Oryzias latipes: one gene and its partner. The protein of the gene in region 1 interacts with the protein of each later gene in a pairwise test. Links are inferred from orthologs where the notes say so. Each region holds a gene or a part of one and is shown on either strand. Other genes may lie near its edges.

Region 1 (11,542 bases):
CATAAATTACATCATAATTCTAACCCACGTTTGCTAAGGTGCGTCATTGTACTCGGAAACACATGTAACCGTAAAGGTTTGGTCTCAGTGTTCAGACTAAAATCACAAATAAAACCTTGGAGAGAATTAGAAACCAATGAGACATTAAAAATACCGAGTATGACTACAAAAGTCCGTTTAATTGTTCAAAAATAACAAGCAGTGACAAATCAAAACAAAGAACAAACCACAGGAATGGGTTTCCTGGCTTAAAGGCCTCATTGATTAACACAGTTACGGTAAATCCACAATTTCTGTGATTTTATGACAAATTCCTGAATACAACACCAAATGAGTAGCAAACCAATGGAAACATGTAGGACTTTAATGAATTCATATTTCATCTCTACTTCAGGTAATCACTTGACTCAAAGTGGGGATTCAGTCCTAAACTGCTTGAATCTAGGAGAGAAGAAGCAGAGAAGCTGAGCTGTGTTTTCGTTATGAAGTATCCATGACGGCCGTTTCTGCAACACAAAAACACGCTCAATGTACTTTTCGTCCTTCAATATTTTAGGGAGAGTATAAAAGTTATCATTGCAAATGCAAAAAGGGGGCAGTTAAAGGCCCATTCTGATAAAATGTGTGTTCTTGTGGCATTCTTCTGATGATATAGAGGCTTAAATAAAGAAAATGAAGAATACAAATTGTATTTCTGATTACTTTTTTATTCAAATTGTTGTGAATCAGAAGGACATAAAAAAAAAAGAGCGTATCTGAGGTAGAAAATATGCTGAGCGAGAGACAAGCTCCCTGCTCTCAGCAACGGGACGGGAAGAGGGGGCGGAGTTGCTGCGCACCAACAGTCCCATCCACAACTCAAAGGTGAAATTCTAATGAGCTACTGCGAGCGACGCAGCAGAAACTATGTCTAGAGAACGACAGGTTTTTTGATTTTGGCAAAAAACAGCAACATCATAATTAAAAAGAACACTGGGATCGGAGTGGGACTTTGAGAAATTCAAAAGTGTTGAGATTTGGTTTTTGTTTTTAAACTTGAAACTTACGTGTTTCGTTAAAGAGGAAGGAATCCTGGTACTCCTTCATGTACTGAGAGGACCTGGCCTCATCCAGGAACAGAGAGTAAACGCGTTTGATGTCCTCCACCTGAACTTCTGTCCCCTGAAGCAGCACAAACAAAAAGATCCCTCCGTGATGAAAACAGTCACATGTTCTCATTTACCAAAACACCAGAAAACAGTGATGCTGAGAGCATCTTCTTGTAGTGGAGCTTACTTTGCGCTTGCGACACACCAGCCCTGCAGTGCTGATCAGCTGGATGGCGTAACGCAGCGACGTCTCCATGCCGATTCGAGTGAGCACCGTGTGCGCTTCCTCACTTAGCTCCACATCCTCCTCCTCACACCTGAAACACCGGGAAGTGGATGTGAGTGATGCTGAAAACAGGAGCAGGGTTCGGTGGCGGGAAGCAAACCCGCGCTCCCACCTGATCTTGAGGATCTGCCTGGTCTCTTTTTCGGTGTACGGGGACGTGGCGATGATGAGCAGCCGGTCCAGGAGGTCAATGGGGATGCCGTGAGGACTCTGATAGTTTGTGCCACGAATTCTGTGGGAAAACGTACGAAAATAAAACAAAGAATGTTTTTGTGGGGGGGAGAAAAAAAAAATCAAAGATTATAAAACAACTTTTAAATTTTAGAGCATTAGTTTTGAAGGACGCGTAAGCCATACACATCAAAGGAAACAGCTGAAGTGAATCAGCAGCATGAACAGTACCGAGTGATGCCTCTGTTGGTGGCCATGATGAGGACTGGAGACAGGTCGCTCTCCAGGGCTCGGTTCAGGAAGGAGAAGCACTCCATGTCCAGCATATGCACCTCGTCAATAAATAACACCTGGAGCCGCACGCATGCACACACAGTTACCCTCAACCAAACACAAAAAGGATCCCAAAATGCAGGCGGCGGCGTACCCCTGGAATGATCTCCGCCTTGCCTTCTTCCCTCCACTCACACACTTTGGCATTGATCTGCTCTCGGACTTCCGACTTGATTTCTCCGGTGTCTCCGGAGAACAGAGCCAGGAAGCCTTGTGTGCGGCTGTTGATGACGTCGATCTCATGGAGGGACACTGTGTGCACCACCTCCTTCCTCTTCTGCAGCTCTCCTTCAGGACACTGGACAAACTGAGTCTGCAAGCAGAGGAAATGGACAGCAGTTACAGCTGATGCGGTTTAAGGATCAGCTGACGGTTCTCAAGAGAAAATCACTAGATCATCTTTTACCCTCAATTGTAATTGATTAAATTCTTTAGTTTTTGTTTTGTTTTTTCAAATTAGTGTCAGTAAAACGCAAAACTGGCTGGAATATCAACACCAACAACAAATATAAAACAAATACCATTCTCGTAATGAAACCGCATTTAGTGAATTTTGAAATTTAAGTGCATCCCCTAAACATATTTGAAGATCCACTCTAATGAAAACCCTGTTTTTTTTGTTTTTTATTTTGTTCTTGGGAGATTTTTCTCTTGATGGAGGAAACTTATCAAGAAAATTACAATTCTGACTATTTCTTTATTCAAATTGTTGTGAACCAGGAGCAGATCCTGTTTGAAAATGTTCCCATTTATGACGTAGAAACTACAATCGGCAGTTACAGGCTCCCTGCTCCGCTCCATTCTGATGCATCCGCCTGCAGACAAAGAGATCCATGAATGTCTTTGTTTTCCTCGTCTGAGCTGGAATCTGGATCTAAACTGTACGGCTGGATAGAACTAACATTGCTCGCCATTTTTGTGGCAGCAGTAATGTTAGGTTGGGGTTGTGAGGGGCTGTAAGCTAGTGGGAGAGTGTAAAAACAGAGCTCTCAGCAACAGGGACGGGAAGGTTGTTTCGCGCCGACAAATCAGAGGCAAATGTCTAATGAACTCCTGCATTGGAAACTATGTCACAGCTTCAACCCCACCTGCTTTTGCAGAACAAGACGTCACTGCTCCCTGTGTTCCATCCCTCCACCTTATTACGCCGTGTCTGCTGTCAGATTTTGTTTAGTGTCCTTCTTTGAGTTGCAGTCATTGCTGTTTGCAAAGACAAACATCTGCTACTGACCAAGTTTGTGGTCCATTAAATCTTTTTATTTTTTATTATATATTACTCATTTGTGGTTCATTTGACAGAGTGAAACTTAAAGCTTAAATGACAGAATCCACGTTTTTTTTTTTCATTTCAAGTCTTCATTATTTGAGACACTTTTTCATTTGAGCAGAAAGGATTCTCGGGATAAACAATATTCAGATAAGTTTTATGCAAATCAATGTCATCATAACCCAAGATTTTGAGATTAACCAGTTCTGAAGTTACATTTTCAAGTACAGTGTTCCCTCATTTACCGCTGGGGTTACGTTCTAAAAATAACCCACGATAGGTGAAATCCGTGAAGTAGGATTACAGATGTTTCAAGGCCGTAAACCTCCTCACTACACACTTTTTACACTTTTCTCAGACAAACATGAACATTTTCACACTTGTCTCTCTTGTTTAAACTCTCAAAGTTCTGTTTTATAGAATGAAAACAAAGATCTGATTGTGACAAAAGATTGATGTAACTCTGGTAAGATGAGCACATTGTGTAAAGAACAGAGAGGGGATTAATTGACAAGGTCAACAGCCAATCAGGACGCACAACACAGTGCTGTAAAAAGAAAAAAAAAACGTGCAGAATTGCAGTAAAAGAAAGCGAAAGGTGAACTGTGATATAGCAAGGGAACCCTGAAATCATAGTATTCATTATAATCTTCAAGTGATAACACTTACAGAGGCTTCAGGTGGACTTTGTATTTGACTATAACCCAAATTCAAAGTATGGTATTCAACTGTCCCATGCAGAGATCTTACCTGGGCTCCCATGGCGTCGTAGTCTCTGGCTCTAGTGAAGGAGCGCCCCAACTTGGAGATTTTCCCGGTGGCTTTGTCAATGGTAATAACATCACTAAAAAGTGTGTTTAAAGACAAACAAGAAAAGCTCCATTTAGATAGGACTGAGAAAAAAACAAAACCCAAACCTTTATATTGCTTTATGAGGAGAAGATGAACTCACCCGGCTTGAACTTTCTCTTTACTGAGGCTTTCAATCATCTTGTTCCCCAAGTCATATATTGTCTCCATCTCTGTAGTCTTCAGAGTCAGCTTCCCCACCTTTGCACCCTGATTAAAGCAAACCAGCTCAACATGAGGCGAATCAGCTAAATAAATCAACGTTTTCTAAAGCTATGGTATGGAAAGACTGTTTATGAAGTGAAAGGATCTTACTGTTCCAGTGGCGGGTCTGTCAATCTGGATTTCTACCACCTCCCCTTCAATGATTTCTGTCTCCTCTCTGGATTTATGGGGGGGAAGAGAGCGGACTTAATTTCTATCCAAAAAAAACAACCTAAACCTTGTTTATATACTTACTTGATTCTCACTCCTATAGCTTTTCTAAAAGCTTGGCTCAGTGCTTCAGTTTTGCTCATTTCCAGGGAAAAGATCTCACTTCCAGCCAGAGCTGTAAAGGGGGTGTCAGGGCCCAAAGACTGAGCAATACCTGTAGATGAAAGAAAAACATGCAACAAGCCTCAAATAGCCAACAGAACTTTGCCTCAGGTGGAAACTTGTATGCATCATTTCTGGTCCCATGCTCACCCATAGCAATAGCCGTCTTCCCCGTGCCCGGCTGGCCAGCAATCAGAACGGCCCTGCCGGCGATGTGTCCGTCTTTGATCATCTCCAGGATTATCCCTGCTGCTCGACGGGAGGCCAGCTGGCCGACCATCCCCTGTGACACCTGCAGGTGAACAGGGAACTCAACTCGTTCAGCAGCAAATATGCCTCATTCGGATTTTATCCTTTGACTTAAGGGACATTTTGAATGCTTTAAACAAGCTGCTAAAAGACTTTCCTGTTGGAATCACAACATGTGGGTTTAGTGCTGACAACAGGGCTTTAGAATCAAGTCTCGCTTTGCTACTTGACTACCTCTATACTGCTTCATGTTGTTTCCACACACAACAAAACATTAAAAGGTACATTCGAAACATTTTAACCTCTCAAGTTTAACAGCAGTTTAAAAATATCCAAATATGTTTTCCTCTGTTAAGTTTTTGCCTTTTTAAAGGACATGAATTACAAAAAAAAGCCATAATTTTATCAAAACTACAAACACCTAAAACTACTGAAGTCTTGGGTCAAAACAGAGATCAACAAACAGAAGTGCTGCACGTTACCTGTCTGGGCTCCAAAGCATCGTCCAAACCAAGGCCCCGAATGTGAGAGTGGGCCCCTAACCACACAAAGATGAAACTATTACACAAAATATTACAAACATACGGGAAATCATAGCAAAAATAAATACACACAGCTCATGTAGAGATAAGGCATGTTCTAAAGTTTACCATTCAATTTAAGCTTACCATTTATTTCTAAAGTGTTGAAAATCTGCATGGGGTCTTACCTATTCTTTCAATCCGTGTAATGTCCCGAACCTCTGGCACTTTTGTAGTTGCCATCTGTAGAATAATACATCAATGACAAGAAGAAAACAAAAAAATGCAAAGAAACATTTTTAAAACAATTTGCCTCATCGTAAACAAAAGAACAAATATTTTCAGAGGAGTTTAGGCCTTCGTTGATCTTTGACTAAATCTTAAGAGCATTTTTTATTGTTTGTTTAAAAATCCTGCTTATGAAAAAGAACAGCAAGAATTCCTTATGTGTGTGTTCAAATATCGATGACACTTTTGGATGTTTATCGTTTCCAAAGAGAGTTAAAATTTGCATCCTCCATTCACCAATGTTTTAGTGTTTTCCACATAGACTTTGTCAAAGCAATATAAATGTGGAATTCCTTTTATGCTCCACTTGTCCTGTCCGTTGTCATAGTGACAGCAATGAATGACCACACACAACACAACAGCAAAGCTTAGTCAACACTCTTTGACATTTTAAAATATATATACGCATATTTGTGAAACATATCTAGGAAGGAAAGTATTAGTAAATCAGGTTTAGAAAAATTGACACTTCACTGAAATTAGTTTATTTTCTAATATGAATACGGGGGGAGAAAATCGACAGGTAACATCAGCTAACGATATTAGCAAACAAGCTAGCATCATTCACACCGTTCATAACGCAAAACAACAGCACACGCCATATTAGCCGGGTAATAAAAGCCTGCATGACACGCGGAAGTACTTAAAAATAAATTGGCTATACTACTTGGGTGAAAATATTAAAGTCCAAATTGATTTTAACATCTACTACAAACTCAGGACTCACCTCCGCAGCCACACTTAAAAAACGTGAGAAGCGCCGCTTCTTTCTCAGGGAGTACTGGTTAAATGTGTCCGACAAGAAACATGCGAAGCCGTTCAGTTCCGCTACTAGAGTTTATTGGGACTGCCCTCTATAGACTCAAATGTGAATTACAAATCTGGCGTAAAAGCCCGGATTTGTTTTTGAGATGAAAGCTACGTTTTTGTCTTGATCGTCACGATAATGATAACCTGAAAATACTTAAATACTTCGAAATTATCTTTCTGTGTGTCAAATTTACTACCTAACAAATAATGTTTTTGGCATTTTTGATACCTATAACTATTAGAACTGAAATTTTAAGCATTCAAATACAGATTAAAGATTAGAAAGAAAAATAAACTCAGGTTGCTAATAATTTAAGACCTGGATTGCAGTCATCTGAACAAAATAAAACCAAGGAATCTAAAATTGTAGTTTAAAAAAATACTTTAAACTTAAAGAAATGCATAAGAAAACGTCACATTTTAAACAACTTATCATGCTGTTACCTTGAAAAAAAGATAATTAAACCTAAAACATCACAAATATTCATATATTTATTTCCCAACAAATGTAAAAATATGATCATGCATTAAAAAACATGTACTCCCTTAATATGCACTGCTTTTATAATGTGTGCTTGAAGTCCTTATGGTAATTTTCTCTCTTTATCATGACTTATATAATCCATAGGTGATCTCCTGAACCAAAACTGGTCAGAGAAACTAAGAGGTTTCAAAAACTTTCCATTTTGACCCAAAAGAAACCCTGTTGGTTTGCAGAGGATGTGACTAAACCTGATTAGTCTGAAGAAAAGCCCAGCAGCACTGCACAGATTTTTCCACTAGAGGATGCAAGATTAATGTTGTGCAAGGATCCTCATATAGACAAAGTTATAGTAAGAGATCTACTAATAAACCAAAGTTATAGGATTGATGACAGAAGCCACATGAAACTAAATGATGCTTGTAGAGATATTTCAGTTAGAGGGAGTAAGTGTAAACAACCCCTACATAAGGTATGAAGTGTAGGAATGGGTGTTGTTTCTTATTATTTACCTTGTAAAAAAACTGCATCTCCCTTTTTTATTTGCCAAGTCTGAGGATAATCTCTTTATCCTCAGAGAAATTGTTGAAAATGTTTAGACGAAATAACTCGAAGGAGCAGACCCCTCTGAAGTGCTACAGAGGGGGTCTTAATATCCTTTCCATAAATCATCAAATTCAACCCTCAAGGCTGAAGGGTTCCAGATCATAATGTTTCATTCAGGAAACAGATGGATGCTGAAAATGACAGGTTCTTCAAGACTGAAATGAAAGAGACAAGGATGAAGCAAACTCATCGTTGTTTCATTTCAGGCGTCAGTTGTTGGGTGTGGCAAACAAGTTCAGCAGCACCCACTTGAATTGCTGAGAGGCACTCACAAATTGCATTTTTTGTGTAGACGGACCAGAGTCCGTTGGGTTGAGTGACTTTGGAAACACTTCATGGAGCAGCTCTTTTGTCTTTTGTGCCGTTTTAGGTCCAGATGTCGATCTTTGCTTAAATCCAACTATTGGAGTTACTTTTATGAAATCCTTTTACGACAAATTAGTCTATCATCAAGGCACTGCTGATTGTGAACTGTCAAAAGACAATGCCTCTGTCATACAGTGTAGGAGTGGTGGCGGGGTAAATTCCTGTGACTTGCCACAGAACAGGATGTTCCCCGAGATCGCACTTCCTCCAAACAGGCAAATGAGTGTGAGGTCCTTTCCGTACGAGGTTCAATTTCATGTTAAATCTAGGTGTGTCTAGTAGTTCTAAATGTTACATTTTTATACCTGATGTTCATGTTAGTGAGCAAAAAGGGACAAGAAGCTGAAAGTTGTGGTAAAATAAGTTTTACTTAAATAAAAGGATGAAAAATCACAGCATGAAACCAAATGTTTATTGATAAAATACAGATACAAAATGACTAAAATAGGTTTGAACTGCAGTAAGTTGTTTTCATCTTTTCAAACTTTACATTCATTCAAAGATTATTCACATTCATCACAAATCACTTCCCCTGATTAGTACACATGTAAAAAAATTCTACATCTCTCTTTGAAAAAAAATCTAAATATATATATATATATATAAATCAAATCTTTTTGGAAAAGTAGTTTGTGTTAATATTTTTCCTACTCATTGATTTGTAATGTATTCACAGTTGGACGATGGTGACAGCAGACTCATACCAAACCCAGAACCCTGGATAAACAGGTTCGCTGAAGGAGGCCTTAAAAGTGTGGAGGAGAGACATGGTGTCCCCCACAGCGTAAAAGGAGAGGGTTCCTCCAACATGGTCCAGGAAAATCCCGATGCGGGGGCAGTACGGAGCGTTGATCTCAACTTGGTCCTTGCTATGGCGGGCCGAGTAACTGGAGTCAGAGCAGAAGAAGCTCCAGGATTTACGGTTGTGACCGATGCGGGCGTGGTCACCGTAGCCTGTCCTCTTGATGCCTTTGTAGGCAATTCCTATGGCTGCCCCCTCCCCACTCCAGTCTACCTCCCAGTAAAAAGCATTTCCAGCAAGGGGCTCTTTGCACAGAACCTGAGGCAGGGAGTCGAACCTGTTGGGGTGATCGCTGTAGGACTGCGTGTCTCTCTTGAGGGTGGCCTTCCTGTTTCCACGAGACAGGTAGAGCTGTCTGTAGGCCGTATTTGGATCCAGAGTGAGCTGGCAGGCATCTGCAGAGGGACAGAAGACAGAGTGAACATTCATCCAGCAGGAGGGAGAATTTATTGTTAGAGTTAAACATAAACGAGGAAATTCTAGGAGGCGGATAAAGCACCCATCACCATCCTACAGGAAACAACAGGGTCCTAAGGTTAGCAGGACGTCATGAAGTTTTCTAGCTCTGTTAGAAGTTTAACCAACGTTTGTAATGTCATGCTTCACAGAAAGGGTGTGAGACCCTATGGCTGGACACACAGAAAGCAAAACGATCAGCGGGTCACCTGCCTGCTGTGCACCTTTGCCTCTGCAGGTCACAGTTGATGGGACACTCGATAGCCTCGGCTATTTCTGGCTGGCCTATGATCTGGAATGCCAGAAGCATCAACAGTGTTTGTGAATTTGACCACAAACTTGTTCCCCAAACATTTTCAAGTCTAAGGTGAGAGCCATCCTCAAACAGTCTGTTTTCAGTTGAAATTCTATGCTCCTGGAGCAGGACTAACGAATGGAAATGGCTTTTTAGAGCTACTAAAACAAGTGAAAAAAGGTGTTTCAACTGTAAGGGAAACACAAACCCTGAACAAGTGCCTGCGACTTTTAATACTTGTGATGCATCTGTCCCTGTCTCTGTCAACACTCTAGGATGGGAAATGTTTCGAAAGCGTTGGGGTTTAGTGGTCAGCCACAGGGTCTGACAGAGAATCTCAGCAGCGTCTAGATTTCCTGAACTGAGCGACGAGAGCAACGTCACTGCAGAAAATAGACTCACATCTCAGGAAGTCATCCCGGTACTGGGGCTCTCTGACCGGCATGGACTTGTACATGGGAGCTTCCTCAGCTGTGGGGGCAAATGCAAAACACAGATTTTCAAATTAAAATTGTGTAGACGGAAAAAAAATGAAAACAATTGCTCAATGTGCACCAATGACAGTCATCACAACTGTCTCAGAAAAGATAACCGGTAGCTAGAAAGGACTGTATTTCTTCTTACAGCACTCTTAATATGAGTTCAGAAAAGGATCTGACTTCATTCACTAAAACTTGTCCACACTTATTTAGATCCCACATGCTTCTTTGTCATCGTCATCAACGAGATGCTAGATTATTGTCTTGACTTACCTTTGATTGATCGTTTCTTTTTGGCATCATCCAGTTCACAGAAGCTCATTTTGTTCACTGTAAAATTAAATAAAAAACACACAGGAGTTAGCATGGCTAAGGCTGTGGAGATAACTGCTTTTGAGAAGTAATAAAGTCAGTGTTCTGGTGGTGATCCACGCTCACCTGTCTTGGCCACCTTCACAAGCTCATCATTGCTGAATTCGTTCATGTGCTGCTTCATCTCAGACACGGCCTTGGTCACAGGGCCAAAGGAGAAGTAGGGGTTGACAGTAACTGAAGGCAGTTCCTCAGCCTCAGTCTGGGCTATCAGCATGTGGTAAGTCTGACAATAAAAAATATCATGACTTTTACAGATGATGCACTTATTGGAGTTAGTTTGAGCATGCCTCTTGTTTCAGGTGCCATGCTAACCTGGATGAAGTGGATGTGGTCTTCAGTGCGGGACAGCTGGGTGATCTCACTGTCTCTTCTTTTCAGGTCAGCGATCTCATGGTTCAGGCGCTCCATGTGGCCCTCGGCATTGCTCAGTGCCGCTCTCTTGTTGGTGGATATCAGCTTGGCCATCTCCTGCTGCATCCTCTCGATGGAGCGCATCATGTCCCCAAACATCTTCTCACATTCCTGCAGCGCTCTCTGGGCTGAGTTCTGCACAGAAAAAAAAACGGGTTTTTCTAATATAAAGTGCGAGGCACGCAGATTCAGAACACTTAGAGGAGCTGCCATCTACAAGAAGGACTGTTTCCTGGTTTGCAGTGGCTCTTATCTGTTGGATGAATGATCGGGTCACAGACCTTGAGTGAGTCCACAGCTTGTTTGAGCTCCTCCATCTGCTTCAGACGGTCATGAATCTTCTCCTGGATCTCTGCCTGGGTGGCACCAAGCCTTTGCTAAAATAAAATAAAAATAGATATATCGACTCGTTCGACCAAATAATGTATCGTCTGTTTAAATTTGAGCTCATTAAACTCAGGAAAGACAAAGGACAACCAGCTTTGTTTAATGTATTGTTAGCTGCTTTCTCACAGATTTCACACTGCTGCTATCATTCCCAAAAGTCCCATATAAAGTACAAGAAACTATTCTGGAGCTTTGTGTTTTGTTTAAAACATTTCCTAAAATGTCACCCACCTGCTCCTCGGCTCTCTCCTGCTCAGCTGACACCATGTCGTGACCCTTGTGCTCCTTCACCGTGCACAGCACACAAATGCACATCTGGTCAGTGCGACAGAACAGCTCCAGACCCTTCTGATGCTGCGGACAGATCTGCCGGTCCAAGTGGCCGATTTCATCCACCAGCTTGTGCCTCTTGAAGGTAGCTGACTCAAAGTGAGGCTTCAGATGCTTTTCACAGTAGGAAGCCAGGCACATCAGGCACGTCTTGA
Region 2 (11,495 bases), on another chromosome or scaffold:
GGGTCTCCCTGTTCGTAGGTGCGCAGGGGCGGTGAAGGTCAGCTTAAATCGCATCAGGAGAAGCTTTCTTTCCAGTTTCAGCACTGGATGAGCGGAATATTCATGAAGCAGTATCTGAACTTCTGCAGGATGAGGCTGAGAGCATCGAGGTTAGGTTATCTGTAAGTAAAGGCGCCAAAGTTGGTGAGTTTTTATTAAAACAAAACTATTTATTTTGAAGCCATTTTTGTGTTTTCTGCTGTACCACAGGTTCCTTCAGTTGGCGGCGCTTTGCTTTTACGCACAGGTAACTCCTGCTCTTACCTCCATTAACTCGGAAGAATTCAAATGTCTTCATTCATATGAGAAAAACTGCGACAACGTCTCATTAAGAGCAACTGGCATCAATTCAAACATCTTGAAAAATGCAGAGCTGCGCTCTGAAAGGTGATCGTTAAAACACATGTGGACGGGGGCGGGGGAGTCACGGCGGGGTGAAAGATCAGCGGCGCTCAAATCAAGAGTGACATGAAAGCGTCTCCGTGCGGCCCGCCGGGGGCTCGGCCCGCCTGACTGACACCGTCAGTCACGCAGCTGCGTCTCCTCTGCTGTCCCGCAGAACTCCGTGCAGTCTCCTCCGAACTTCAAGCAGCATGTGACGGAGCAGAGCCGGCTGTCGGACCGCATGAGCCGCAGGCTGACCCGAACCTACCAGCTGTACAGCAGAACCAGCGGGAAGCACGTCCAGGTTCTGGCCAACAGGAGGGTCAACGCCAACGGGGACGACGGCGCGGCTCACGGTAAAGATGAAAACGTCTGAGCAGCTGTATCAATTTTATGCTGGGGGGGGGGGTGAAGCAGCTTTTGGTGTTTTCTTCTCATCTGTCTGTGGACTTCAGCACAAACTCATCTCTGTACACCAACCAACCTTCTGTCCTCCACTCCTGGGTTTCCAGGGGTTAGTCTGTCTGACTGTCCCCTTCACCCCCCCCCCCCCCCCCCTTTATACTTGAGACAGTGAAACCCTAAAGCTGCTCAGACCCGAGCGTTCTGGAAGGCCTCAGCAACAATCAGGGGGTCCTTCATGTCAGTGTCAGGACTCGGTGGTTCTCCCACATCCATGAATGTCCCGTTTCCTGATGAGGAGGTGCGTCTCTGAATCATCTGCCTCCCCGTTGTCGTTACAGCAAAGCTGGAGGTGGAGACGGACTCCTTTGGAAGTCGTGTTCGCATTAAAGGAATGAAGACGGGATACTACATATGCATGAACAGGAAAGGGAAGCTGATTGGAAAGGTAATCGGAATTTTGACGTTTGTTGACATTCCAGATCCGCTGAGCTTGTCAGACACCAACATTAGATTTGGGGAATTTTCGCAGCACCTCTGAAGGCTTCCCTGAACATTTGATTGTCTGAATAAAAGAGTGGTGTTTTTCGGAAACATCTGAGCCCCCCTCCCTCCCCCTGCTTTTGTCCTCTCTGCAGAGGAAAGGACGAGGCAAAGACTGCATCTTCACCGAGATTGTTCTGGAGAACAACTACACGGCACTCCAGAACGCCAAGTACGAGGGCTGGTACATGGCTTTCACGCGCAAGGGCCGCCCAAGGAAGGCCTCCAAGACCAAGCAGCACCAGAGGGAGGCCCACTTCATGAAGCGCCTCCCGAGGGGGCACCTGCTGAGTGAAAGGAGGCCGTTTGATACGCTTCCTCTGCCCGTCCCCGTTCAGCCTTTCAGCAAGCGGACTAAGCACTCCCATCAGCTGCGCTCGGAGGGTCGCTGAGGGACAAGCGGCACAGCAGAGGCGCCGCCGACAGCTCCAGACTGGAGGGAAACCTGCATGTACGCCTAAGTGCCCGAAGGCCTCGTTTGTGGATTTACTGAGTAATTCTTGGTACTGAATTGTAGATAAACTATCTAATCTGCTAGTTATTTCCAATTCAGATGATCATGGGGGGGGGGGGGGTCTCCTCAACAAAACTGTCCTGGATGAGAGTTTGGGGGCAGAAAACTGCATCAGAGAATGTTTGAAAGGAGGGAAGTAGACGTGGCAGCTATCTGGGCTTCCAGCATCTGAGTCCCGCCTCACCTGTGGGACACGTAACCTGTTCTTTTCTACATATATGAATATATTTTTACTGTAAAAATGTAAATCAAATATTTATTGTAGAGTGTATATTAAAACCACTAAAGAAAAGGTCCAGGCCGAGCTCTGGTGTTTTGGAAAGTCACCCCCTCCTAAAAAATACCTTCTTTTTTTTTCTCCTGGTCTTCTTCGCACTGAAGACCCAGATAACTGAGGGGCAATATCTGTGACAGGCTGCTGAATTCAATGTGCTCAGCAAGTGAGACCCGGGCCTGAATGGCCCGAGCTATGCATTAAAAGCGATGAGGTCAGCCCACCATTTCGGCTCAGACAAAAGTTACCACCATGTAGTTGCATTTCTCACGATCGCACACCGTAACCCTCAGATCAAATGAGCCCTTTGTGGAACCTCATATAAAAGGGCATGTTATACAATAGTGGGTTCGAATAATAACACGAGGAGGGGTCAGTTATCAAAAAGAAGCCAGTCACACAGGGAGGGGCGACGGGGGGGGGTTACAGCTTGCAGAGAAAGCACCGGGGTCTGTGTGGCAAAATGTGGCATCGACTGAAAGAGGGGGAATGGCTGGGAAGAGGCATTCGGGAATGAAAGGGAGGCAGAAAAGAAGCCCTCTTCCCAGAAGCAGCTGAGCATGACCGTCGGAGGCCAAACGACAGGGGAGGAGGACGATCCGGAGCGCAGCCGCTCCCTGCCTGCCCGTCTGCTGCAGTCAAAAAACGACAGATTTCATCTTCCTGGTAGAAGAAAACATCACATCCCTCCAAATAATCTGGACATACGGGAGCACAGAGTGCCTCAAATGTGTTTGTCTTGCATCTGCAGAAAGACAAAGCACAATGACCTGTGGTTTGGTCTCCGCGAGCGGCACTTGCTTTCTGGGTTTGGACAAGCAGAAAAAAATGCTAGGAATCATAAGCTGTACTTAAATCCAAGAGTCTCACTCGAAGGCCCTCTTCAGGCTGCCTTCAGGTTTTTCTTTGAACTGAATCAGACAGTAAACAAAAGTGCAGCCTGTTTCTTCATGCTGCAAACATGCCAGGATGCAAACTGCTGGGCAAAGGTGCCTCAGACGTCTGCTGTCAGCTGTCAGCTCCGCGTTTCTGGGAATCAGAATCAACCAAATGCAAATTTCAAACCATCAGGTACAAGAGAACAAAACGTGTGAACATCCTTGGAGGGATCAAAATGCTTTGTTTGGAAAATGTAAAGATGTGGGATTTCACTTTCGGACAAGTTCTGAAACTCGTACATTTAGGAACATGGAGGTATTTTGCTGTTAATGTCCAGATTGCAATCAAAACAGAAGCGGGGGGAAAACTTGAGGTGGTTTCTGCAGGCGTGTGAACAAAAGCTCTGGAGGAAATGAGGCTGTGAGGCTGTGAATGCAGCCCCCGCTCTCAGCCAGAGCTCACTGGGCTTTGCAGTCCCCCTCAGTCGTCCCCCTCAGCTCCTTCAGCTCCTTCAGCAGTTCCTGCTCCCCCGTTAGGATCTCTTTTGGCTTCTTGTACTGGAAAAGAAGAAGACATTTCTCATTATCATACATCTCTGGCGGCTTCAAAACAATCCGTGAAACACAGAGAAAATGTGACACATTCAACATCAGGCAAAAGCTCTGGTTGGAAGGACATCAGTCTAAAAAAAAGGAGACTGGATGGTTTTTTTTCCAGATTAAAAAGCAAAGTGTGAGAAACTCACACTGACGATCAGCGTGTTGTTGGCGTGTGTGAAGCTGAGGGCGGCGCTCTCCAGAGGCAGACAACATCGATCAAGATCAGGAATACAGAACTTTTTAAAATACCTGCAAAGACACATGCAGGATTACAAACGCACGGTGCGCCGGCAGCAACGCGGATGGTTTGTCTACAGCGCCATCTATAGGGAGAGTCTGAACATTGCATGCAACAAGTGTGCAGCGCAGGAAGGTACTTTTTGTTTGAGGTCTTTATGACGACACATGGGAGCCGGTTTAGCTCGTGCTGGTTTGCGGCGCCTTCCGTCCGTGAAACCAGGGTTCGACTCCGGGCTGCTCCCTGTTCCCTTCTCTACCCCTGTGCCGGTTCCAAGCCCGGTTTGAGAAGGTTGCGTCAGGAAGGGCATCCGGCGTAAAACATTGCCAAGTTTACCATGCGACTTGTTCGCTGTGGCGACCCCTGATGGGAGAAGCCGAAAGAGGAAGAAGATGACGACACATCTTTCAGACGGCTCCACAAAAACACTGAAGACATCTTTCTGGTAGGCGAGGTTCCGGATTCTCCACTGAAAACAGGCTGTGGAAACCAGAGAAAACGCTGCTGAGCTCTGCAAACCCAATCATTACTAAGCTGAGGTCAGGTCAACATAAAAGCAGAAAAAAAAAAAAACCCACATTGGAGCAGCTCTCTCTGATTATGTCCGAGTCCTGAGATCCCGGGGTGTTGACCAGCGGCTCCCCAACCTCCACCTGCCAGGGGCTTTGAGCTCCCAGTGGGCTTTTATGGCGCCATTTCCGCACTGAAACACATTCAGAAGACTCATCCTGACTCTACCGCCGGCGCCAGTACCTTCATGCTGCAGAAAAGCTACATTTGATCCTCACTAATAAGTTCGTCTGTCTTCAAGTCGTATTCTTCTGCCATCTCTTTCCCATCAGAGAAGAGATAGTGGATCTTCCGCTTACCTGCAGGTAGAATCAAAAGTGTTCACGAGAAATACTAAATAAAAATCTCAAGCTGTGAGGTTATGTTATGTTTATTTATCTCTTTCAACAAAAATAATCAGAAAGTGTCGAGCAGGGACGGAGATGTCCGGGTAGAAACCCACTACAACTGCGGCCCCCCCCCCCCCGCTGTTTAACTGACCACCACGAAAAACTGATTTACATTTGATTTTTGTTTGTTTTTGAACACCGATGAAAACCATTGGGGCCTAAATATTTACATGCAGTCACAACAAAATTTTATTCATCACTTGAAGCTGAAACTTGTTTAAGCATTTGCTCTAAACCAGTGTTTTTGTGGGAGATGGTCAAGTGTGCCGTGAGAAATTGCCCTCATTAACTGATCTAAAAACATTTAACATCTCCAGGAAATCAGCTCTTTGTTCATCCAAACAGGCCCTGGTAAAACACATAGAAGTTAAAAATATGAAATATCATAAAATTATTTTTTCTTTGTGTTTATATGATTCTTTTAAAGACATTTTGATAAGAATAACGGGATACCGTTAGCTGCAGCTATAACTGTGTAAGGAAAAGTCCCGCCCCTTTAACTGTCTCCACCAATCATTCTTGAAGGCTTAATCACATGTCATCAGTATGACCAATCAGAAGTGGTTAAAGTCTTCGCTTCCTTGTTTCGATTTAGCGCAAAAAAGTCTCTCTGTTCTAAGAAAAATACCAGCTAAAGCTCGTCTTTAGCGGTGTAGCTTTCCACAGAATCTGGTATCAGACTGTGGAACAAGTGAACAAAACAATGAAGCTCAAAGACGCTGGTCTTTCTGCGGTCGGCGCATTATCGGCACTACATCTCCCATGATGCAGTATAGTGACTGTCTTAGCGCACAATGAGTCTCTCCTCTTAACGTCTTAAAACAACGAACACACATCAAACAGTTTTTGAATCTTTTGACTAAATTTTTAATACATCTTTTAGAAAAAAACAGCTGCAGCTTCCAGCTTTTTATGCAACAATTATCACAAAAATGCATGTGAGATTGCAGAGCGGCTGTAGATCAATACAGACTATGAGCTTATTTTTTTATTTTTTTTTTTTATCTATTTTTTTGGATGCTGGTGTGCCGCGGGATCTTTTTCAAGGTTAAAGTGTGCCGTGTCTCAAAAAAGGTTGAAAAACACTGCTCTAAACAATAAGTGGGGAGAGGCATTTGCCAATAAAAAAAAAAGAAACTCTTCTACTTTTAGGTTGAATTAGCAGATAAATGCAAGGTAAGAATCTTCATCATTACCACCCTAAAATAAAAATATTAGAAGGCAAAACACACACAGTGTATATAATTAAAATACATAGTTTATCTGTATAAGTGCAGTAAAAAAGGACACATGAATTTCTGATTCATGCCAGCTGTATGTAACATAAAGGAATTTTGAAGAAACGTGTTTAGTATTTGCCCTAGACCTTTGCAACAATAAAAGCCTGTGAAAACAGTGGAATGGTCTATGGCACAGACGGATATCTGATCAGAACTTGTGTGGGTTCAGAATTAAAATGCACTTTCATTGTTTGGTACAAATACTTTAGATTTGGGTCCCCATCCAATCAGCGCATCTGTTGTCCAAATACTGCCCTTTCAAACTCCTCCCATTTAATTACTAATCGTAGATTTGCTTTCGGTCTGTTAATAAAAAATGCAGTTTGGGTTTATAATCAAACTAAACAATACTAACTTGGGTCGAAAGATGTTTTTTGATGTCTCATTTAAATCGCCGTCTGAAAGAGCTTTAATGTTCTTGTGAACAAAAAGCATTATTAGCAAACAGGAGCATCTTCATGGTCAGGTTGAGTGGTATGAGGCTCAGGATTCACTGACACTTGAGCTGCTGTGACTTGTTTTTCTCATGATATTATTTTCTAGCTTGTTGTTGCTATTTTCATAGATTCGGAGTTTCTTAAGTAACGTGGAGCGTCACATAGAATATCTAAAGTACTGTTACTGTTAGTATTTTGTAAATACGAACGCATCTGCTCGAGTCTGTCTTTTCGAGATTCTGGTATTAACGTAGATGGAACTGTAGGGACAGCTAGCTTGTTGCCTAGCAACATGATTAGCTATGAAGTGAAGTCCAACTTTAGGAAAGGTAATTACGTCAGGTTAATACATTTTAAAATGTTTTTATTTATTTAAAGAGTATTGTATCTTTTTTAACTTACCACCCTGTATGAGCGCCGTTTTTCTCGATGACTTCAAAACTTCGGTCCAGCTTTGCAGCTCTGCCATTTTACACTTCCGTCTCTCAGGCGGTTACCACGGAAACAAGTGGCGCGAAAATGTTATTGTGTAGTTAATTTTGAACGATAAAACTATTTCTTAGTATTGTCTTATATGAAATATAAGATAATAATTAACATTATTAGTGAAATACAAATAAATTAAAACGCATTATTTTTGTGACCTCAACCCGGAAATGAAGCATTCATAGAAGGAACAACTTCCGCTTCAGGTCACCTGTGTTTGTAACAGGGTAAGAGCTAATATTTTATAGTACAGTTGTTTTAAGCAACAAATGTTCGGTTTTATTTCAAAATGTAGAAATATTTCAATTTGCATCAAACTGCAGATAAAACAGAAAGGGATCAAATTAAAACTGTTTTCTGTTTTCATCGTCATTCGGTGTGAATGAGCAGCTAGCCATTTACAACAAGCGGAGGAATATTGTTGGCCTTATATAGTCCTTCACCATTGTGACTGGATATTTACAAAAATATTAATTACGGTTTTAAAGGAAACACTATAATACAATTCAGAAAATTAACCTGTTTAAAGAATAGTATGTTGTGCCAGGCCCTGAATCTTGTCTAAAAGAGAGAAAAATGCTATCCTCCCTTACTTTTCAATCAATTTTAACTTCAATGATCGTCTTTTTATGTTTTATTTGTCTGCATGCAAGATATTAACTTCTTTTATACTGTAATTTAGCAAGTTTATCCTTTTCTTTTGTACTTTAATTTGATTTTTCCTCTTTAGAAATACTATTTTTTCAAACCGAGTTTTAATTCTATTATTGTGCTTCTTGAAATGACAAACCTCGTCTTTGTTGTTCCAGTATGTTGAGTCCTAAAATAAAGTTCTACTTTTACGTTTTCACCAACTAAAAAACTCGCAAAACATTTTTTTTTCTGGCTTTGCTCTCAAATGAACATAAACAGGATGTGAAGTGAATTTCTCTAAAAACTCAAAAATCTCTGGATTATTTGGAAGGACAATGCTTTACGCAGACCTTCCAGCTCATTTGCTATTACGCTGATATATTTATTCTAACTCCATATTACAGCCCTTTACCTCCGCCCAGTTACTTGCCACAGACACAGTCTGTGCCAGAAAAACATGTTCCCGTCCATCTAAATTCTCCCTTTTCTGTATTTGGAATTTAGTGTTCAAAGGTTGCTTGATGAGAAACCAACCCGTTTATTTATCTTTGGCTCATGTAGTCTTCTGGTCTGTGTGCAGGCCAGCCGTTCCTCTTCTCAGATGGAGAGATGGAGCCCCGTCATGGGATCATGAAGGCTTTCCCCAAAGTTAAAAGAGCCAAAGTGCTACAGGGACAGGATGCCCCTCCGATGAAGAAGAAACCTGACGAAATAGAGGTTAAGGGGGGAAACCCTTTTAGCAGACTGACAGTGTACCTTCTGCCTGCTGGGATTGGAAATGCGAGGTGCCAGATATTCCAGAGACAAATTCAGCAGATGGGAGGACAGTTGGAGAGTTCATTGTGTGCTGCTGTCACTCATGTTGTGGTGGATGACAGCATGGATGGAGACAGGGTTCTGCGATTGCTGAAAGTGGATGGCCTGCCCTCTGGTGTTCATCTGGTGAAATGCAGCTGGCTGAGCATGTGCATTAGTGAGCGGAAACTCCTGGATATGGATGGATACAGCCTTCAACTCCTGGATATGGATGGATACAGCCTTCTTTTACCCAAGAGGTTCATGGTCATCTTTACATTTTCTTTTGGAGTTTTTGTCTCAGATCAGGTTTTTTCTGTATTCTTTTAAACCTCTAGTGTTCATAGTTCAAGATGTTTCTTTCATGCATATCAAAACACATGATTTCATACATAAATGACATATTGGTATATGCTTTACATCTTTTAAATATATTGTCCACCCAGGAGCTCAGAATCAAAGCTGGAAAGTGTGAGTGAAAAACAAGCGGATTTCAAATCGATTGCAGAAAACTTCCCAGATCCAGAGACTCTTCAAACCAAGCAGGAGGAAGCTGCACTCACGGTCTGTTTCCAGGTCACAGCATTCTCAGATGAACCTGTCAAAGATAAGCTTTTCATCACGATTTATCTTAACACCTTTCTAGCAGACAATCCCAGACACTAAAGAGGAGGTGGGTGGGGAGGAAGACTGCGTCTCCCAGAGCGACCTTGTAGCTCTAATCACTGGTCAGCACCCCGAAGAAGAGAGCCCAGGCGCAAGTGGAAACCCTGATCCAGAGGCTGTCGTGGAGAAAACGGTCCCAGGGAAGTGGGTCTGTGCTCAGTCTTCCAAGTCTAAGACTAATAACTTTAATAAGCACATCACAGACAAGCTGGAGTTACTGGCTAAGGCCTACACACATCAGGGGGACAAGTGGAGGGCTTTGGGGTACTCCAAGGCTGTCAATGCACTGAAAAGCTACCACAAGCCAGTGACTTCATATCAGGTAGAGCTTGCTTTAAGAGCTGCTGGTTCCACTGGTTTTTAGCATGTAATCAACTCTCTCGTTTTCTCATTTCAAATCACTTTCTCTAGGAAGCATGCCAGATCCCGGGAATTGGAAAGCGCATGGCCGACAAGATCGATGAAATAATGGAGAGCGGCCACTTGCGTAAGCTGGATCACATCGGGGAGGCCGTGCCAGTGTTGGAGCTTTTCACCAACATTTGGGGGGCAGGAGCCAAGACTGCACAGCTGTGGTACCAACAGGTGAAAACACAGCCTACGGCCTCTGCCATGTCATTCCTCTGTAATACTAACGGAGGTGGTTTCATCCCAAACTTTGGGATTTATGGAGCTGCTCCAGTTCCAGCTGGGAAACAGGATATTTAGCTGTTGTTTTTGTTTGTTTTAAAGACTCGTGAAATGTTTTTTTTTAACTCAGAGAAACTGAGTTTTTTGTCATTAAGTTTTCTTGTTGAATACCAGCAGTCTCCAGAGGAATTTAGTGTCTTTTTTGCTGTCAGGGATTTCGCACCCTGGAGGACATCCGCACCAAAGCTCGCCTGAGCGCTACTCAGAAAATTGGCCTGAAGCACTACAATGACTTTCTAGAGCGAATGCCCAGAGAGGAGGCAGCAGCTATCGAAAAAGTGGTAATAAATCTTCATTTGACCCATCAAATGCTTGCTTTGTTCTGTGATGATGACTGAAACATTGACTCCTACAAATGTTAGGCTGCATTCCTATGCAGGTGATGGGATCCTCCTTTGAACCATCAGCCATTTGTGAATTGAAGCCCTGAGGTTGGAAAATGTTTGCTGTAGCTTTGCTGCACGATGATGTAAAAAACAGAGAGCAGCGTCCCAAAGGGGAAAAGGAAACTCCAAACCTGGACTGCTCTTAAGTTGGCCAGATAACTGCTGGTTTCTCTGTCAAAGAGCTGCTGACCGGGATTTTCACTTTCCATCAAAGCTGCCAGTGAGAGATTAGACGCGAAGAAGATGACAAAAGCATGTGTGTGTCCTTGGTCTGCGAAATAATGTGCTTTGCAAGGATGCCTCCATATTTAAGGGGGAAAAGTTAAGCATTTGCTGGTGGGGGGCACCAGAGGAAGACTGCAAAAGGAAAGGGTCTCTTTTTTCACGTAAAGAAACTTTCACTTTTCAGCCCTGAAGAAACCAGAGGGCTGGAGTCTACTCACAAACATCTCTGGAAGATTCCTGGAGTTTTCAGGAATGTCAGTGACCCAATCATCATGCCCATCAGGGATGAAGACTTTGCTCCTGATGCACAGATTTCTCTGGAAATGTTTATGATATTCTGCTCTGGAGAAAGTCCTTGTACTTTTAGGTTGAGGAACATTTTTGGAAAAAAAATTCTCAATCTTTGTATGTTTATCAAAGGGCTTCTTTTTTCCTTTGTCTCTATAAGAAAACCCAGTAAAGATGATCATGTAGCAGACCTGACATCAATCAACGTCATTACTTGAGAAGTTCTCCAAGCCCAATTCTTTCATTTCCTGCTTCTTTGGTCATTTCTTGCCCCGATTTCACTATGAAACCTGCAGCAGCCTTACATTTGAAATGAGCTCATTTAATTCATCAAAGTCAGATTCCTCCGTTTAAACATTTACCTTGTCCATGTTAGGTTGGGAATAGAACATTGGTTTAGAAAGCATCGGAAAATCTTTTTAATTGTGGTCAAGTTTTTAAAAGGCCCAGAACTTTAGTCATGCAACGGCTTCTTCTGTGCAGGTGAGGGAAGCTGTGAGAACCTTGGATCCGGGACTCGTGGCCGTCGCCTGTGGTTCCTACCGTCGGGGAAAGGCGACTTGTGGAGACGTGGACGTACTCATCACTCACCCTGATGGCAAGTCCCACAGAGGCGTCTTCAGCAAAGTGTTACAAATCCTCCATGATGATGGTAATCTTATTCATTTGTAAGCAATGTTATTGGATTTTCATGTAGGAGAGGGTGACAAAGTTTTGCCATTTTAGGGTTTTTGACAGACGATTTGGTGAGCCACGAGGAGAATGGAGAGCAGAAAAA

What was found.
Region 2: the proteins of ruvbl2 (region 1) and dpcd interact in binary tests that used the Homo sapiens proteins (3 or more experiments, as listed by UniProt). The two-hybrid records come from large-scale screens. The link is inferred for Oryzias latipes from reciprocal best matches to the Homo sapiens genes RUVBL2 and DPCD.

The regions. Positions count from the first base shown.
Region 1 is NC_019872.2:21,687,206-21,698,747, forward strand, and holds ruvbl2 (ruvB-like 2), read right to left. Parts: upstream 6,427-11,542; 5' UTR 6,317-6,426; intron 5,545-6,316; coding exon 5,490-5,544; intron 5,319-5,489; coding exon 5,263-5,318; intron 4,824-5,262; coding exon 4,682-4,823; intron 4,584-4,681; coding exon 4,454-4,583; intron 4,377-4,453; coding exon 4,310-4,376; intron 4,205-4,309; coding exon 4,098-4,204; intron 3,990-4,097; coding exon 3,896-3,989; intron 2,192-3,895; coding exon 1,973-2,191; intron 1,896-1,972; coding exon 1,777-1,895; intron 1,607-1,776; coding exon 1,487-1,606; intron 1,406-1,486; coding exon 1,276-1,405; intron 1,162-1,275; coding exon 1,047-1,161; intron 507-1,046; coding exon 481-506; 3' UTR 347-480; downstream 1-346. Other genes in the region: tripartite motif-containing protein 16, read right to left, coding at 8,523-9,049, 9,808-9,876, 10,158-10,214, 10,323-10,482, 10,572-10,805, 10,952-11,047, 11,289-11,542. UniProt on the Homo sapiens protein: Possesses single-stranded DNA-stimulated ATPase and ATP-dependent DNA helicase (5' to 3') activity; hexamerization is thought to be critical for ATP hydrolysis and adjacent subunits in the ring-like structure contribute to the ATPase activity.
Region 2 is NC_019859.2:29,440,549-29,452,043, forward strand, and holds dpcd (protein DPCD), read right to left. Parts: upstream 7,036-11,495; 5' UTR 7,018-7,035; coding exon 6,951-7,017; intron 4,801-6,950; exon of another isoform or gene 4,782-4,800; intron 4,742-4,781; coding exon 4,661-4,741; intron 4,576-4,660; coding exon 4,447-4,575; intron 4,374-4,446; coding exon 4,273-4,373; intron 4,056-4,272; coding exon 4,012-4,055; intron 3,884-4,011; coding exon 3,781-3,883; intron 3,593-3,780; coding exon 3,494-3,592; 3' UTR 3,013-3,493; downstream 1-3,012. Other genes in the region: fibroblast growth factor 8b-like, read left to right, coding at 88-161, 250-286, 599-779, 1,167-1,273, 1,464-1,760; poll (DNA polymerase lambda), read left to right, coding at 8,277-8,722, 8,909-9,026, 9,109-9,450, 9,540-9,713, 9,971-10,099, 11,201-11,369, 11,444-11,495. UniProt on the Homo sapiens protein: May play a role in the formation or function of ciliated cells.